Linked DNA regions of Arabidopsis thaliana. The protein of the gene in region 1 interacts with the protein of each later gene in a pairwise test. Each region holds a gene or a part of one and is shown in the gene's direction. Other genes may lie near its edges. The genes, in order: AT4G25660, AT1G49850, SWAP70 and AT1G14340.

What was found.
Region 2: the proteins of AT4G25660 (region 1) and AT1G49850 interact in a two-hybrid assay, tested with the Arabidopsis thaliana proteins (one large-scale study listed by BioGRID).
Region 3: the proteins of AT4G25660 (region 1) and SWAP70 interact in a two-hybrid assay, tested with the Arabidopsis thaliana proteins (one large-scale study listed by BioGRID).
Region 4: the proteins of AT4G25660 (region 1) and AT1G14340 interact in a two-hybrid assay, tested with the Arabidopsis thaliana proteins (one large-scale study listed by BioGRID).

Annotation. Positions count from the first base shown.
Region 1 is NC_003075.7:13,081,694-13,086,139, forward strand, and holds AT4G25660 (PPPDE putative thiol peptidase family protein), read left to right. Parts: upstream 1-1,713; 5' UTR 1,714-1,983; coding exon 1,984-2,118; intron 2,119-2,489; coding exon 2,490-2,751; intron 2,752-2,829; coding exon 2,830-2,897; intron 2,898-2,993; coding exon 2,994-3,296; 3' UTR 3,297-3,737; downstream 3,738-4,446. Other genes in the region: ACD1-like protein, read right to left, coding at 1-130, 213-552, 634-821, 945-1,460; AT4G25670 (stress response NST1-like protein), read right to left, coding at 3,738-4,304.
Region 2 is NC_003070.9:18,454,339-18,458,304, reverse strand, and holds AT1G49850 (RING/U-box superfamily protein), read left to right. Parts: upstream 1-1,685; 5' UTR 1,686-1,860; coding exon 1,861-2,073; intron 2,074-2,162; coding exon 2,163-2,356; intron 2,357-2,633; coding exon 2,634-2,979; 3' UTR 2,980-3,461; downstream 3,462-3,966. UniProt on the Arabidopsis thaliana protein: Probable E3 ubiquitin-protein ligase that may possess E3 ubiquitin ligase activity in vitro.
Region 3 is NC_003071.7:13,142,143-13,147,710, reverse strand, and holds SWAP70 (Pleckstrin homology (PH) domain-containing protein), read left to right. Parts: upstream 1-1,650; 5' UTR 1,651-1,992; coding exon 1,993-2,016; intron 2,017-2,128; coding exon 2,129-2,236; intron 2,237-2,443; coding exon 2,444-2,505; intron 2,506-2,597; coding exon 2,598-2,681; intron 2,682-2,775; coding exon 2,776-2,807; intron 2,808-2,915; coding exon 2,916-2,997; intron 2,998-3,259; coding exon 3,260-3,488; intron 3,489-3,729; coding exon 3,730-3,957; intron 3,958-4,039; coding exon 4,040-4,332; coding exon of another isoform or gene 4,333-4,336; exon of another isoform or gene 4,337-4,412; coding exon 4,413-4,785; 3' UTR 4,786-5,046; downstream 5,047-5,568. Other genes in the region: GSTF10 (glutathione S-transferase PHI 10), read right to left, coding at 5,319-5,568.
Region 4 is NC_003070.9:4,895,760-4,899,565, forward strand, and holds AT1G14340 (RNA-binding (RRM/RBD/RNP motifs) family protein), read left to right. Parts: upstream 1-1,586; 5' UTR 1,587-1,691; intron 1,692-1,935; 5' UTR 1,936-1,949; coding exon 1,950-2,068; intron 2,069-2,159; coding exon 2,160-2,235; intron 2,236-2,320; coding exon 2,321-2,434; intron 2,435-2,591; coding exon 2,592-3,017; 3' UTR 3,018-3,276; downstream 3,277-3,806. Other genes in the region: AT1G14345 (NAD(P)-linked oxidoreductase superfamily protein), read left to right, coding at 3,417-3,806.

The DNA of each region.
Region 1 (4,446 bases):
CCCATCTAGGGACAATCTTATCAATAAATACACCAAAATTCCTCGGGAACGTCCATATCAGCCTACTACGACCTGGACTGACCGGAATACATATAAAGATCAAAGACAATCTCCGCTTTGACAATGCCGCCTGTATACAGAACCATACTGTTAGGTAACTAAAACATGTGACTCTAAACAAGAAAATCTTGATACAAGTTAAAATCTATGACCTTGTCAGAAGCAGCTGGTGCGGGATACTCATGTTCCTGCTCTGGTAGAGGGTCTGTGGAAGAGCGATACACACATGGTGCAATAAAATTAGAATAACCCCATTCTTGTTTTGAAAAGAACCCTTTGTTGTCTAGTTTTTTAACGTTGATTTCGAGTGGTTTCCCCCCTTCTCTGTCAATCTTCTCTGCAAGAAGAATCTGAAGGTTGGTAAAAGGATTAAAACAACTATTTGAAATACAAATTATGTATTTGCCTTTTGGTTTAGGAAACCGCATCAGTCCATAATGTGCATAAGGAACATGAGCCGGGTCCATGAGGTTTTCCACCAAGACATCGTACCTGAAAGATTTCAGATTTACACAAAAACATCAACGGAGAATTACCACACATAGTTGAAATGATGTAAAAGCCAATAGATACCCGTAAGGAATATCACGATTCCCCATCAACTTAGTGAATGATGGGTCTTCTAACTCTGGAATGTAAGGAGGCTTGTTGGTTTCAATAATGTTTTTGTACTTTGGATCACTGTTTGGCCAAAACCAAATGATCTCATGCTGCACAGTACTCGGGTAAACAGCTACACAAGCTTGCTTGAAAGTGTGGACCTGATTTGCATTACCAAAATAATCATTGATACAACCAAAGACTTTGACTTTATGTTCCATATAAACCATATGCTAAACCAATCTAAAACAAACAAATCATCATCAATAGCTATAAAAATTTACCGGAGGACCATCAGGAGGAGCTTGAGGAATGAGTTTACAGTCACCGGAACCATTAAAGCACCATCCATGATAAACACATTGCAACCTCCCCCATTGATCAATCCTTCCATCAGACAAAGGAGCAAGACGATGAGGACACGTGTCATCCATCACTTTCCATTGCTTCTCGTTCCTATCCCACCAAACAACCAAATCAATCCCCATAACTTTCTTCCCATGAGGAACCTTCTTGTCAAGATCGCAAATTGGCATCACTGGGTACCAATTAGCGTACCAATCGAACTTATCCGACCCGGGTTCGAATAGGGCTTCAGGTTCCGGTGGAGAATTCGTTGACGTAGCGGCTGATGATGATGGTGGTGATGATACTGCGGTTGTGAATCGACTTGATTTGCGGGTGATAAGGGAATTAGGAGAAATGGGTAGGCTTGGATTGGAGAAGGAACATCTGAAACGAGGTTTCGTATTGAGAATTCGGAGCGATGGAAGAGCGCATGCAGCAAGAGCAGCTTCCATGGCGTTGTGTGGTGGTAACAACCGGAGAGACGAAGCAAATGAAAGTCTTCTTTACCAATCTCTTTTGACAAATTTATAATCCAACGGTTCAAATTAAAATATCTCAGGATGTATTTAAACCAATTGATAATCATTTTTCTGGTTTAATGAAAACTAAACCGGTTAATTGAAAGAGAAAGTGTCGGTTGAGTGTGAAACCGGCGTCGGCAAAGTGAGGGTATAAGGGTCCTTTCCAGACACCACAGCATCAGTTTCTTCAATCTCCCACGTCTGAGATTGAAAAGTTTGGGAGAAGATAAACAAACTCAAAATACCTCAGCTTTAGATCAAAATCTAAAAACAAGAGTTTCGTGCAGTGGTTTCTTAGAGATCTAGTAGATTAGAGAATTTGGATTTGTTGAAGAAAAGTGGATTTGGTACGATTCTATAGGTTTCCTTCTTCTCTGAAGCTACTATAGAGAGAATCTGCGAGCTCAATTTCGTAGTAAATTAGGGTTCGTGTTTCTTGGTAAAGATAGAATCAATGGCGGAGGTTGTTCTGCACATATACGATGTGACGAACAGTGGATCAGAGAAGACTAACAACACCATAGTTCAGATCAATAGGTTCTTCAAAGACGGGATCGGTCTTGGCGGTATATTCCACAGCGCTATTCAGGTACTACTACTCCACTGCCTCGATCTTCTTCGTCTTTAGTCTATCAATCTACATCTGCACATGTATCGATGATGTCTCTCTTTTGAGTTGTTGTTTGTGTGTCTGTATGTGGAAATGAAGAATTTGAAGGAATGATATTTTTGGTTTTATCTGTGAGGCTCTAATCTAATGGCATATGGTCGTAAAGGTCTCTGTAAGATCTTGAGCTTAAGCTCCCTTTTCGTCTGTACTGAGGATCTCAATACTCGGTTCTTCAAGTAATTTTAGAAACGTGTTATGGGATTATGGGTGCGATGAACTTTAGGTTTACATGTTGCTATTGATTCGCAGGGAAGAGTGATTGAATAGAATCTTGTATGAACTTTGTGCAGGTATATGGAAACGATGAATGGTCTTATGGGTATTGTGAACAAGGAACTGGTGTGTTCAGCTGTCCTAGTGGCAAGAATCCAATGTACACATATCGTGAGAAAATTGTTCTTGGGAAGACAGATTGTACAATCTTCATGGTAAATCAGATCTTGCGTGAGCTCAGCAGGGAATGGCCAGGACACACTTATGATTTGCTGTCCAAAAATTGCAATCACTTCTGCGATGTATTATGTGACCGCCTTGGTGTGCCAAAGATCCCAGGTAAAACCATTATTGTGGGAATCAGGGTTTGTGTGTGTGTTTATGTTATGTGACGGCTTGGGTTCTGTCTCTTAACAGGTTGGGTGAATCGTTTTGCTCATGCTGGCGACACAGCCTTGGAAGTAGCAGGAAACACAGCAATGCGGGTGGGTTCTCTCTCATTTTGCTCTGCCCACGCTGTTTCTTTTTTTACACCTGAATGCATGTGGATGTTAAGTCCTTGTGAACTGTGACTTTTGCAGGTAAAGCAAGCCAAAACTGAACTTGTTTCAGCCAGTAAAGTGGCTTATCGCTTCCTTTCGAATGTTACCTCAAACATAACCAATGGTTCAAATGGCTCCAGTGGCTCTCCACAGCGGCCAGGAACTCTCAACAATTCAGACAATGGGAGCTTTAGATTGCAAGGTAGTTGGTTGAAAGGTATACTTAACACTGCCAAACCCTCCACAAGTACAGAGATAGGGAACAAAGAGGAAGATACAAATCATACAATCACCAATCAGAAAAAGCAGAACCGTGACTCTGATGTTCTACTATTTCAGTAGCAACTGTACTGATCCACCCCAATGTATTCACTTACTGTATATCCACCTATCCAAAATTTATTCGTTTGTATCCATTACTTTGTATCACGATTCGAACACACCTCTCTTTTTTTTTCCCCTTTTCACAGCAGAACGTGTGATTTTGTTAAGAAGATATTTTCAACACGTTACTGGCAAAGACCAAGCAAGTCTTAGCATATGCATTGCACACCTATTAGAGGGTTTGTTAAAAGAATGTGATATAAGATAAGCAACAATGCAGTATGAAGAGACTTCAACATGTATAATAGATACAACTCAAAATGCGTCTTTAATATTACAGCGAACGAAAACAGAGTATAAGGTCTAACGTCAAGAGAAAAAAACAGAGCATTGACACCAAAGCAAGCAGAAGGCAAATGTTTATTTTAAAAACCGAATGAGGACGAGTCGTGGCATCTGTCATCCCCGGAACATCCCATTGAACACAAAGGCGTTCCCATCAGCATTTTCAGATATCTGTAGCGCCGAGACAGCCTGAGCAGCAATCAAATCAGCTGATATTCCCATGTTGTTATCCCAAGCACCCCTCCTCGTGAATGGCGACCAGTTACTATCTCCTAGTCCATAGCCATTTGACACAAACCCAATCCCTTGAACCGCATAGCTAGCACAGCTTTGGCGAGGAACGTAGTTAGTTCTTTCATCTCTAAACAGATCCATTGTGAAACCCTTTTCTTCACCAAACTTGACTCGAGATGAATCATCAGAATCTTCGCCCAGTAGGACGTGCAGAGCAACAGCTTCTGCAATTGCAGCTCCTTCTTCATCTAACCTTTGTTGTTCTTCCAATCTCTTCTGCTTCTTCTTTTCAAGCTCAGCCCGGATGGCTGCAGAAGTAGCAAGAGCTTTCTCCAAACGTCTCTTTTTCTTCTCAGCTTGTTTGATACGATCAAATTCATCTTTACCATGCTTCTTCTTCGCTTTCCTAACGACTGGCTGAACTTGCTTGCACACCGTGTGATCCATTATTGCTTGACTATAAATTTCTAACTAAAAAACTGCACTAAACTCGATGATGTTGTAGAGGAACTCAAGAACTACACCCACTCTGGTATATAGGAATACCTCATGGTGCGGACAATACAATCCCAGAAAGAAACAACAGGAG
Region 2 (3,966 bases), on another chromosome or scaffold:
ATCAATAATTGCTCCATTTATAAAATTTTAGTGTTTCATAATTATAATGATCTCCCGCTTTCTTAGGAAACTCAGACAACCTCCAACGGTGATTCTAGATGAGCTCTAGAGAGGTGAGACCATCCTCAACGCCAGTATGCTATGAAAATTTATAAAAGGATAAAAATAATAATATTTTAATTTTACAGTTATATTTTAAATATTTTATATAGATAGACCAATAATAAAGATGAACGTGTCTTTGGGTTTGTGATATCGTCTCTTAGCTAAGAGTTTTTGGAATTTCTCATTCTCTCTCTTTTTTTAACTTTTAATTATTTTTATTTTTTTAATTGTTAAGAATTCTATTAAACAACTATCGTTAACGGTGGTCTGAAGCCCTTAGAAAAAAGCCAACATTTAAAGAAAAAATGTGATGAAGTGGATGGAACTCACTTTAGCTAAGAACATTTTTTGTTTGGAAAGAGGCCCATACCTATCATGTTTCATAGGTTCGGTAATGTGAGGAAAGAACATTAATTTTTTTTCCCGTGTATTTTTTTTCTCTTTTCTCTCGTAAAATCCGATGATGATTACGAATCGATCATCATCAACCGTCATCTAGATCATTAAGTAGAAGAAAACCAAAGAAGCTCGTCTCTTATCCGCCGTGATCATCATCATCTACACCGACGGTGCTCACATCTGCGAATTCGATGAACTAAATCGGAGAGTTTGTTTAACCAAATCGGAAATTTATGTGAAACTATGCTCCAATCGTTTGATAAAGGGTGAAAGCAACTAAATAACAACTAATAAATGAGTTAATTAACAAAGTGGCAATAAAAAAACAAAATTAAAAGAGGAAAATTTTATCTAGAACCAACTTGTATACTGCAACTAGTACATTAACAATTAGATTTGAGTTAAGCAACTAACTAATCAATAGTTTCTCCATTTATTCATTTTTTTTCGGGAAAAATGTTGTTTAATACACCAACTTTCAAAAAGTGGCCATTTAAACCATGAACTCCATATATGGCCAAATAAAACTTAGTAAAAGCGTTGACCGACCATTTTATACATCTCAAAACGTTGACCAGGCCAAAAATCCTGCGACGTTAGCAGTCGTTAACAGAGTCGATAACAGGCGTTAGCAGGCGTTAATTAATCCGTTTAAACACAAAAATCTTCAAACGAACAAAAATGGAGAGGCTTTTGAAGATTTTTGAATTTGGGAATTTTAGGGCATGAGAATTGGAATTGGGGATTTTAGGGATTGAGAATCGAATTGGGAATTTTGTTGGTTTCGATTAAACACAAAACGACGTCGTTTGTGTTTAAACGGATTAATTAACGTCTGCTAACGCCTATTATCGACTCTATTAACGACTGCTAACGTCGCAGGGTTTTTGGCCGGATCAATGTTTTGGAATATATAAAATGGCCGATCAACGCTTTTACTAAGTTTTATTTGGCCATATATGGAGTTCATAGTTTAAATGGCCACTTTTTGAAAGTTGGTATATTAAACAACATTTTTTCCCTTTTTTTCCGTCAATTTCTCCATTTATTCAGTTTAGTGTTTCATAATGCTCTCCCCGTTTTCTTGGGACCTATGTATTAGTGGACTTTACTTGGATAGGCCCAATAATTGGGCTTTTCCCCTTAGTTTTTTATTACAGCGACACCGTTTTTAAAGATGTTTTGTCTTAGCTCCGACAGCAAGTGGGAGATGACGTCACCTTTTCACTGCAGTTTCCCTTTACTTTTTCCTCGCAATTTTCTCTCTTCTCTCTCTCTGTCCTCCTTATCTCATCGTCTCTGACTCGCTGCACTTAGTTTCAGATCATATAAACGAATTTGGTGATTGATCGGTGCATGACGAGCGCATCGGAACTCTTCTCTACACGAAGATCACGTCCGGGTCGATCCGACCCGGCTTTAGAATCCGACACTTCTTCCTATCGACACCACTCACACCATCATCATCGCCGTCACGGCGTCCATCATCATAATCAGCGTCATGATTCCGACGGCTGTGATCCTCTCCGGCGACCCACTCCCCGTCTCCGACGCTTCTTTCACCATCCGGTTAGTTACTTTCCACCAAATTAGTAATTACTAATTTCAGTAGTTGTCTGAATTTGGTCCTTTTTACTAAAATCTCCCCTAATTTACAGATTCAGGAACGTAGTAGACCTATTCGTGATGTTCAAGGCACTAGTCAGTATTTAAATACGGATAGTACTGATACTGAAACTCAGAGTAGCAGCTTTGTTAACCTAAATGGATCCGAGAGGCTTCCTGGAGCTGTTCTGCTTGCAAGGGATAGACTTTTCGAAAGATTGAGAGGTGTTTCTTTGTCTAGTAACAGGTCTGTGCTTAACCCACTGATAAATTTTACAGCTTTACTTGATCTGCACTCTAGTCTGATTTTAGATTTCTTTAAAAATAATTGCTTTTGTCTGATCAAGATTCTTTGAAGCATGTTTTGATTTTGCTCTTGTTTCTTGTGAGGATTGGTCAAGACTTAGTGTAAAAATCAGTTTTTGTGGATTATTGTTGCTTTGTGTATTCTTTAATATCTTCTTTGAAGCCTCTTTTTCAAAATTTGGTTACGGATTTGTTTCAACTTTGTTTTTCTGATTCAGTCGAAGCAACAGAGTTTCATTGGATGATCAAAGGGAGTCTTCATTTCATTCTATAGATGGAGATCCAATTTTTCAACTAGCAGGGCTTCAAGTGACCTATGAATGCAACAAGAAACCACAAGGTCTTACTCAAGATGCTATTAACTGTTTACACCGGCAAACTTTTAGCTCAGCCGAGGTTAAATCCGAGATGAGAGATTGTAGCATATGTTTAGAGAGTTTCACTAAAGGTGACATGCTAATATCCTTACCCTGTACCCATAGTTTCCATTCTTCTTGCTTAAACCCTTGGCTTAGAGCTTGTGGAGATTGTCCTTGTTGCCGTAGAGCCATAGCAAAGGAATAGAAACTTGTAAATAGAATCTTTGCCTAACCATTAGGCCATAGCCATACACATCTTCTCTTCTTCTTGCTATAGACATCCTTAAAACGATCTTCTGAGTTTTGTCGCCCATGAGTGTTTTTTTTACTGTCACATGTTTGTAATGGTTTTTGTTGTGCCATTAGGCAGTTCAAGCGTTGATATCGTATGGTGTGAATCTTTTTAGTTTTATTCACTGTGATCTCTCTTTTAATGTCTTGTTGGTTATATGAAAGAGACTTTTTCCAAATCCAAATCTTGATCCGACAATTTGGTTATGCTTTGAGGTTATAGCTCAACAACTTAACGTTTTCATTTTCAGAAATTTTGATTGTCTCAATCTGGTGATACTACTTTAAAGCTTTGCTTCCTCTTCCAAAACGTTGTCATTATCATACATCCATGTACGTTACATATATTGAAGTCTAATATCAAAAGATTCAATCAATTTATAACAACTTTAAAAGAAAGTTATGCCAAAAAAAAGAGAACTTTAAAACAAAGTTAAGGCTAAAAGGAGAAGACAGTTGTGCACAAAAAGCTATTTTTTGCTACAAAAGCATATCAAAATGGACCCCTTTCTTCATAAATTCATGATCATCATCTTCAATTCCTTTCATAAAATCCCATTTATTTGCTCCTAACCATCACTTTCTCTATTGGGTACCTAACACACCTCACTCTCTAACCACTAAAATTAACAATACATACATTAAGAATGTCCTGCCTTTCTTTTTCTATCACATCAATTTCATGTCTTCGACAACATTAAAACCTATATGATTCAAATTCAACCAACTTAAAACGGTTTAGTTCAGTTTAAAATCAACGAAAGCTGAAGAAGATAAGAGAGCTTCACTTGCTAACAATTAACTTTCCATAGATTGAAATTTTGACTTGCTAGAAAAATATGAGACAAATTCAACATTTAAGCAGCAATTCTCCTTCTCTTGCTGCAAATAAATCCCATCA
Region 3 (5,568 bases), on another chromosome or scaffold:
ATGAGTTCATTTCATAAGTATAACTGTTAAAGTTTGTGTGTATCTAGCTCTTTGTAAAGAATTGGATGACGGTATATATGGAACTTGAATACTTGATCCACTAGTTTCTTAGCTATAGATAGAAGAAGAGAAAAGAAAAGAAAAGTTTTAGAATTTGCTTTTAGAGTGTAAAGAAATGTGATAAAAAGAAAAAAAAAAAAAGTTAAGCTCGCAACTTTGTTATATAATATGGTTTTGCATGGAGGTTGATGGTTTATTTTACTAGTATCTCTGAATTTAAATGAAGAAAAGCAAGTGGAGGAATGGGCAATCGATTTGATATAACGAACTTCATTTTTGTCAATCTTAATTAGATGTTAATAATGATGTTTTATATCTAAAAAGGACTATATATATATAATTTGAGTATTGAATTTAATTAATGAATGTAAGAAAAAACAGAAGAATATTCAAGTGGATGTCACTATCTCTGCGACTCTACAGCACTTTTGGTTTTCTATGAAAAAAAAAAGAAGAAACTGAAACTGAAAATTCCTTAAGGTCAGATTCATCCAAAAGTAGAATTTTAATGGACTTTTATGTTTTGTGGAAGAATGTCAGATTTTGCAAGGGAAAGTGAGTCATGGCAGGTTGCACTAGCTCATAGACCACTAACAATATGTTACTGTCAACAAACATCATGATTTCACTATGGAAGGTATACATGAATGACCACATCACATGGATATATATTTTCTTATTTTCAAACACTAATCATAAGAACATACCAAATTTTAGATAAATGGTCAAACTTATAAATGTCAAAAGGTGTCCAAATTCTGTAGTATATTATATAGTAGAAGTTTCTTCTTATTTTGGAGATTGAATATAAAGGAGCCAAAAAAATATGGATTTTGATAGCTTCTTAGACGTTTCATTTAGGAAATATATGCATGGTTGGGTTGATGAGAATGCCATAGAAGTGAAAAACAAATGAGAAAATTCATACAAAAGGAATCTACATACGTAGAATAAAGCAAGAGGACCACTTCACGTTTTGCAGCTTTCCCACTTCAGTTAACCCCAAAATTGAATATTGTCTTGGCTTACATGTCTACTACTCTTTTGCTTTGATGCTTTTCAATCCATTTCTGTATCCCCAACAAGTTGTTGTGTTTCCTCCTCCTATGTAGTTATCAGCGCCTAGCTATTAAGGAAAGAGTATCATCATATCACATATGATTACTCAAATCTCATATATTATTGAATATTATGTTATGTACTTATATCATGTTTCATTACGACCATTAGGGAAGTTGTAGTACATTGAAAATCTTGAAGATTAAGAGAAAGTGTAAAGCTGTGTCTAACGCATCTATGTTTGAAGTCCCTGTGAACTAAGTGTCTAAGTCACCACTACCAAGCGTCGAAGCTAGTACGCAATATTTCACAATCTTGCACACATTTGAGATTAGTTGGGCAAAGTAAGAACTCTGCTCTCTCCTAAACGATTGGCTTGTTACAGCCCGGCCCATTGATGTTCCTTAGCCCATCGTTTATGTAAAGCTTCTCCCTTAACAAAGCCTACCTTCTACAGATCTACTTAATCATCCTCATAACCAAAAACAAAACAAAAGAATCATGTGATGACACCTCCACCGTCAGATCAAAAACCATAAAAATGAAGTGAACAAACAAAAAGTGAGAAACTCAAGAACCGGTTCATTTGACGAGTAAGCTGATCCAGTATCGTACCGACCGGTTAAGTTGATTTGATCGCGTTGAAAGAGTGAAGACAGATTCAACTGCAATTCCGCGAAACCAAACCTAACAGCATTTTTCTCCAATTCCTTCTTCTTCTTCTTCTTCTTCTGTAACCTCGTCTTCTTCAGCTTATACTCATAGCTATACCAAAGAAAACCTCTTAAAACCCTTCTTCTCTCGATCCATCGATCAGCAACAATTCACTTCTAATCGATCAAGAGCTTTCCGATCTCGTCGATCCCAATTAACATGGCTTCCAACGGCGCTTCTCCGGTCTTTTTCTCTCTTGATCTCTGTGTGCTACAATTTAGTCTCTTTCTTTTGGCTGCTTTTCTCATTCACACTCTTAAATTGACCCATTTTGTCAATTTCTGAAAATGCGCAGAGAATTGTTGATGCTACTGAGAACAGCTTGGATAAGATCAAGCGACAATTGGCATCTGGCTCTGGTCGGAACTTGCTACAAGGACCTCTTTTCAAGCGATCTGAAACTGTAAGTCCAATTTTTTTAAGTGAAAATGATCAAAACCAGTTTTTGCTTTATTGATTGGGATTTCTTAGTTAGCTCAAACTAAGAAGACTCTCTGATAGCTCACTATTAGATTTCTATAGCTTAAACAAGTCTTTTGGCCTGAAATGTCTTGGCTTATTCAAAGGTTCACAATGATAATATCTTTTGTTTGTGTTTATGTATGAATAGCTGAGAAAATGGAACGAACGATGGGTGATACTTGATCCAACAACAGGGAAAATGGAGTATAAGTGAGTTATATCAATTTGCTTATGTAGCTGCATTTGTGTGTAGACCACTTCATCATGGTTTTATTCATTTCTGATGTATTTCCATGACTCAGGACGAGGCGAAATGAGCCAACTATCAAGGGAACAATTTTGTTTGACGAAAATAGCACAATCTCCATCTCTCCTGTCAACTTCCAGTATGGATGCTACATTCTTTTTTTTGTTGCTCTGTATAATCATCATTATTTGGTGTCTGTTTGTATCATTGACTTTGTTTCTTTTGTGTTTCAGGGGGCTTCCAAAATATAATGGTTGCTGTATTTGTATCCTTGGTTTTAGTAAAATGTTGGCATATTTATAATTGTTTCTTTTGTCTATAAGGAGATAGTTGATTGGAATCTAGAGTTGAATTTTCTTCAACTTGATATAAGATATTGGTACCCCACAGAAGAAAGATTACTTTTTGTGTGCAGAGACTCCTGGTGCAGCTAAAGCTTGGGTCACAACCTTACAGTAAGTCATCTGGATCTTCATCTTTTTGTTTGCTTCTCTTTCTGTCCTTTTTATTTACTTACCATTCTCTAGAGAAGCCACCCCGCTTATTTCATCTATCTTAAATAATTCATAGTTGTGTTGATTTAATGGTTTCGTCGTCGACCATGTTGAAAGAATCATCTTTCTCTCTCTTTTTACGTTTCTTACTGAAAATGTAATACCTTCTAAATGCCCCTCAAAAGCCAATCTGATAAACCTTATCTTTCTTTGTTCGTTCCAGTGCGACACAGCTAGTTCTAAAGGCCCATAAGGAGGCTGTCGAATCTCTAAGTGGAAGTGGTTCTGCAACACTTGGTACCGTTGCAACCGTTGTTGCCGCTGCCAATTCAACAGCATTGGAATGTTCCAGAGAAATTCAAGCAGCAATGCAGATCTCTTTGAGGAATGCATTGAAAATAACGCCAAATAAACCGATTGATGGACCACTAGATGATTTGACAATAATGAAGGTGTGGTATCTTTGCATCTCTCTTTCTCTTCGAATTTGGGAAACTTTTGTGAATAGCATATTGACATCCTTTGGCTGTTGAGATTCTGAAATGTCAAGATGAACGATGAAAGCATATAGGGACACCTTACAGGAAACTCTGCTTGTCAAGGATGAAAATTAACAGAATTAGCATAAATCTTATTCGTCCATCTTCATTCTAATGTCCAGGTTAACCTTATTGAGCCACTTACATCTTACAGGAAACTCTGCGTGTCAAAGATGAAGAATTACATAATTTAGCCAGGGAACTTCGTTCTCGTGACTCAATGATAAAGGAAATAGCAGATAAGCTATCTGAGACTGCTGAAGCAGCTGTAGCTGCAGCATCTGCTGCTCATACAATGGATGAACAAAGGAAAATCGTTTGTGTGGAATTTGAGCGCTTGACTACAGACTCACAGAGACAGCAAGAAGCCACAAAATTAAAGGTAATGAGGCCATGTCATATATAGATACTTTTGCATCCTTGTGTATGTTTTGTTGTTTATTTGATCTTTATCTCCTATGTAGCTCAAGGAATTGGAAGAGAAGACCTTTACTTTGAGTAAGGAAAAAGATCAATTGGTTAAGGAAAGAGACGCTGCTCTCCAAGAGGCACATATGTGGCGGTCTGAGCTTGGGAAAGCCAGAGAGCGTGTTGTCATACTTGAAGGAGCTGTTGTGAGGGCCGAAGAGAAAGTGAGGGTTGCAGAAGCAAGCGGTGAAGCAAAATCAAAAGAGGCTTCTCAGAGAGAAGCAACTGCTTGGACAGAGAAGCAAGAGCTTTTAGCATATGTGAATATGTTACAAACTCAGCTTCAAAGGTGAGCCTATCTGAATCTATCTCCCAGGGAAACTCATGACTTTTGAAGGGTCATAAATCTCTTTATTTTTGAATAAACAGGCAGCAACTAGAGACAAAGCAAGTGTGTGAGGAGAAGACTGAGTCTACTAACGGCGAAGCTTCTCTTCCAATGACAAAGGAAACAGAAAAGAATGTGGATAAAGCATGTCTGAGCATTTCAAGAACAGCCTCTATACCGGGAGAGAATGTAGTCCATATGAGTGAAGAGCAGGTAGTAAACGCTCAGCCTCCGGTGGGAGAAAACGAATGGAATGATATTCAGGCAACAGAGGCAAGAGTTTCTGATGTAAGAGAAATATCTGCAGAGACTGAACGGGACAGAAGAAACAGCTTGGATATCCCGGTAGTGTCTCCTGAACCTAACGTTCCACGCAATGATCCGCCTTCCGAATCATTTCATCACCAGCCTTGAATAAAGATTGGTAGATCTTCGTACATTTTAATATACTCTTTGATGGTCTGGTAATGTTTGGAGAGTTGATTCTTCTAACAACAAAAAGAATTTGTCTTTTTAGTTTTCTTGTACATTCAAGAGTTGTTATGTATCTGCCGCTCTTGAATTTGTCTGACTAGGGAATGATTCTTTTTCCCTTTTATTACAACATGAAGAACAGAGAGATATGTGTTAAACTTTGACTTATGTTTTTGGATTCATATAAACCAGTTTTCATATAAATGCAATCCTTCAACAAACCACGATGGTTGTGATGTTAGTACCAGTTTTATCAAAGACCTACACTGAATAGAGGAATATACATGGGTTGAGTCACTCTGATTTTAAACTCTTATTGAAAAGCTTGAAAAGTTACAGAATACAAGAAACCAGAGACAACAAATGAGACAGAGTTCCGTTTCTTATTGAAACAACAAGACAATCGACCCGAAAACGAACTCCCTCAAAGAACACAAAGCTCACACAAACCCCCCAAGTCAACATCTCCTTGTTTAAACAGGTAGTGAGTACTTAGCGGAAACCTCCTTCCACGCAGCACGGCTACTAATCTTATCCCACCAAGCGCTAACATGCTTCCTATCTTTGATCAAATGAGCCTTCCCAATAGGACCAACAAGATACTCGGTGAAAGGAAGGTGAGCCAAATCAGCTAGACTCACAAAATCACCAGCCAAGTATTCGTTCTTAGAAAGCTGAGCTTCATAGACATCAAGCACTTCTGCAAGCTTCTCTTCACTCTCC
Region 4 (3,806 bases), on another chromosome or scaffold:
CTTGTTGTAGATCTCCGAATTGACGTCAACTCAATATCAAAATCTTTCACTATGAAATTCAAAATCCGAATCAAAACGTCTAACCTAGCTATAGAATATATACATTAGTCAATGGTCAACCTTTTATATTTTATTGTTATAATCATATATGGTGAAGATAATTGTATTTGGAGGACCAATATTCAACTATTTCCTGTAATTTAGAACATTTATTTTTTTCTTAAATATATGTTTTTTGCTTATATATAGTCGCAATTTTTAGAAGTTCCATAATCCATATACTTGAACTTCTAAAGCTATAGTCGCAAGCACCTTATTGTTGTTGTTTAATAAAAGTTCTAATTTTGGTAGACAAGTGAAAAAACAAAATTAAACTATCTGGTGTTTACATATATGAAAAATATACATTTCCAGCAGTGAATTTTGGTTTTGCATGAAAAATACATAAATAGCAATTCACTGCAGCAGGGGTCAGAATATAGAAACATGAACCACACACATAAAAAAAAAGTAGATTCTGACTAGATCAATCTGAATTAAAAACTAGTAAATTTTGACAGACGGACGTGGCCGTGGAAAGAAGTAGAAAGAGACAATGAGAGATGGAGAAAGAGAGACGTAAGTATTGATTTGGCCAACGGCTCATATGCAAAGAATATTAATAATAATAATGTTCTTTGCGTTTTTTTACCAATTACATCAAACATTTGTTAGGCACACGTCTTTTCTTTTTCTCCTTTTTAGTTAAGGGCATCTCCATCCATGAAAAACCCACAAAGTTTCTCAAACAAAAAAAAATTAATATTATATTATAATTTGATTTTTTGATTAAAAAAATATTTTTATTAAAAAGTTGAATCAATAATTAAAAGGGAATTATCATGATGGATTGTAGAGAATATCTCAGAGTTTCTCAAGTAAGAAACTTTCTACTCTCTCTCCTTCATTTTTATTATTTTTATTTTTTAATTGTGAGAAACTCTTATAAAAAACCCCCAATGAAAATGGTCTAACTTTCTTTTCCGTTGAATTTCTCTCATGTATTAACAGTAACATAAGTATTTATATCACATACACTTGTCAAATTTGTCTCTTTAGAGATTTTAAAAAGTTATCACTTAGAGAACTTTTACCTGTTTGGACTTTGGACGGTTAGACAGATAATATCTAAAATTACTCCAATTTTTATATATACATGCAATACTAAGGTATAAAAAAGGTTCTAGAATGTTAAAATCGTTGCTGAAAAAAAACAAAATCGTCTATAGATTGTTAATTTTTGCTTCTTGTACAAACACTTAGTAATGATTAATGATTTAATTTTAATATGTAAAGACTGATTTTTAAAATAAAAAATAGCATAAGATGAAAATTTATGTTTCAAAAAATATTTGTGATTATGGGTTGTTTGAGACTGGAAAATAATCAAACAACATTGGGCCTTTCATGTAGAATTTTTTATTACATTTAGAACCGTTAACGATATGGGCTAACTCAAGACATTAAAGGCCCAACATTGAGTTACTAAACGGCGCAGTTTTTAGCTTTTTAAAATTGCGTCTTTTTCGTTCACTGAAAAGGTAGTCCTTCTCTTTCCCACTCACATCATCAACTTCATCAATTCATCACCTTTGTCTCTCTTTCAAGCTTCTCTGTGTGTGATCTCCGTTGGTCAACAACAACTACAACAGGTAACTTCTATTCTTCGATTCCTTAAATTTCTTCTCTAGAGCTTAGTGAATCAACGATTTAGGTCTGAACATATTTGGCAATCTGTCCTTGCTCAAATTTCGCTTGAAAATTTCAATCCCAAATCATGTAAAGCTAAATCGGAAAGTTCTATGTAGTTCCCAAAGTTGAATCACGAACTGGAAGTAATTTAATTTATTGACTTAGGATATGTTGAAATTTTTAGGTTTTTTGTTTTGTTTTTAGCTTATTGAGCAGAGATGGATCATCAATTTGGATATGGTGTTGAAGTTACTGGGTTATCTCCATCTGTTACTCATAATGATCTTATCGATTTCTTCTCTTTCTCTGGTACTATCCAAGATATTGATATTGTCAGGTGAGTCTTTTTACTTTTTAGCAAGTTTGTTGTTTGTTTGCTTATTCTGGATTCAAAAGAGTACACTTTGTAATGTTGTTAATGAGACTAGGTCGGGTGAGCAAGCTTGTACTGCTTATGTGATGTTTAAGGATTCTTATTCTCAAGAAACTGCTGTTTTACTCACTGTAAGTGTTAGTTTGGATTTGATTCACTCTTTCTATCTTTTTTGGATGTCTCTTGAGAAATCACTCACTTCTTTGATATCTTCAGGGCGCAACGATATTGGATCAGCGTGTTTGTATAACTCGTTGGGGACAACATCACGAAGAGTTCGATTTCTGGAATGCGACTTCGCGAGGTTTTGAAGATGAATCGGACTCACAAGTATGTATCGCTTTTGACACTTCTCTCAACTTTGATCTTTCTGTCTTCTTTTTTTGTTAAAATAGTTAAATCTAACGGTCACTGGTTCAGTAGTCTTTATGTTGAAGTTTGATGCTTGGTCTCAATTCTAAAGCTTATTCGTTCTTCAATCATGTAGCATTATGCTCAACGAAGCGAGTTCAACGCTGGAGAAGCAGTGACAAAAGCTCAAGAAGTGGTGAAAATAATGCTTGCCACAGGATTCGTGCTAGGCAAAGACGCTTTAAGCAAAGCTAAAGCCTTTGATGAATCCCACGGCGTATCAGCTGCAGCGGTGGCTAGAGTATCTCAACTAGAACAGAGGATTGGTCTTACTGACAAAATCTTTACCGGACTTGAAGCTGTTAGAATGACTGACCAAAGGTATCATGTTTCAGATACAGCTAAATCAGCTGTCTTTGCCACAGGAAGAACCGCGGCAGCAGCTGCAACTAGTGTTGTCAATAGCAGTTACTTCTCCAGCGGAGCTCTTTGGCTGTCTGGTGCATTAGAGAGAGCTGCTAAAGCCGCATCTGATCTCGGTACCCGCGGCTCAAGGCAGTGAATAGACCAATGGCCCGATTCAGAACCGTATTCGTCTGTGAATATATATGATGCAAAGCTGATCATGAATAACTGGCTCATGAAGTGTGATAAGACCAAATTTTATCAAAACGAATACCATATAGAAATCTATCAAAGTATACTCTCACATGATGATGCTGATATAGAGTTTGGTTACATTACCTACATCTTAACTCTTCATTAGTAGCATAATCTTTTTTCTTATATAATTTCTGATTTATATCATTCTATGGTTGATATTGATTCAATATTTGGATAGATGTTGTATCCATAGAGCTTAGGCCACGTGGCACAATTTGCGCCAAAAAATCAAATCCAAAAAACAGAGAAGTCATCATCTTTTCACTCCAAATCTTCCAGTCACTCAAATCATTCTCTCATGGCAGCTTCTTCCTCAATTCCGCCGTCAACCGCCGTAACCTCCGTCGTTCGCAAATCTCTCCTCCTCTCAACCACCTTCTCCTTCCCCGCTTCTTCATTGTCTCCCTCCACGAAACTACCACAAAGACACATTCAAAGATTGCTCCTAGCTTCCTCCTCCGCATCCGCATCCACCGTTCCTTCCGATTCCAAACCGGCGAAGAAAGAAACAGTCTACTTCGACGGCGGAGCTCATTACGGAGATCTATTAGCCAATCTCATTCTAGGTCTAACCATCCTTTGGCTCCCACTAACCTTAGCTGCAGTGTCTCGAGCTTTTAACCTTCGTTACAGGTTCACTAACCTCCGCGTGACGGTTATTTCGGGACTCACCGGAGATGATCGGAGC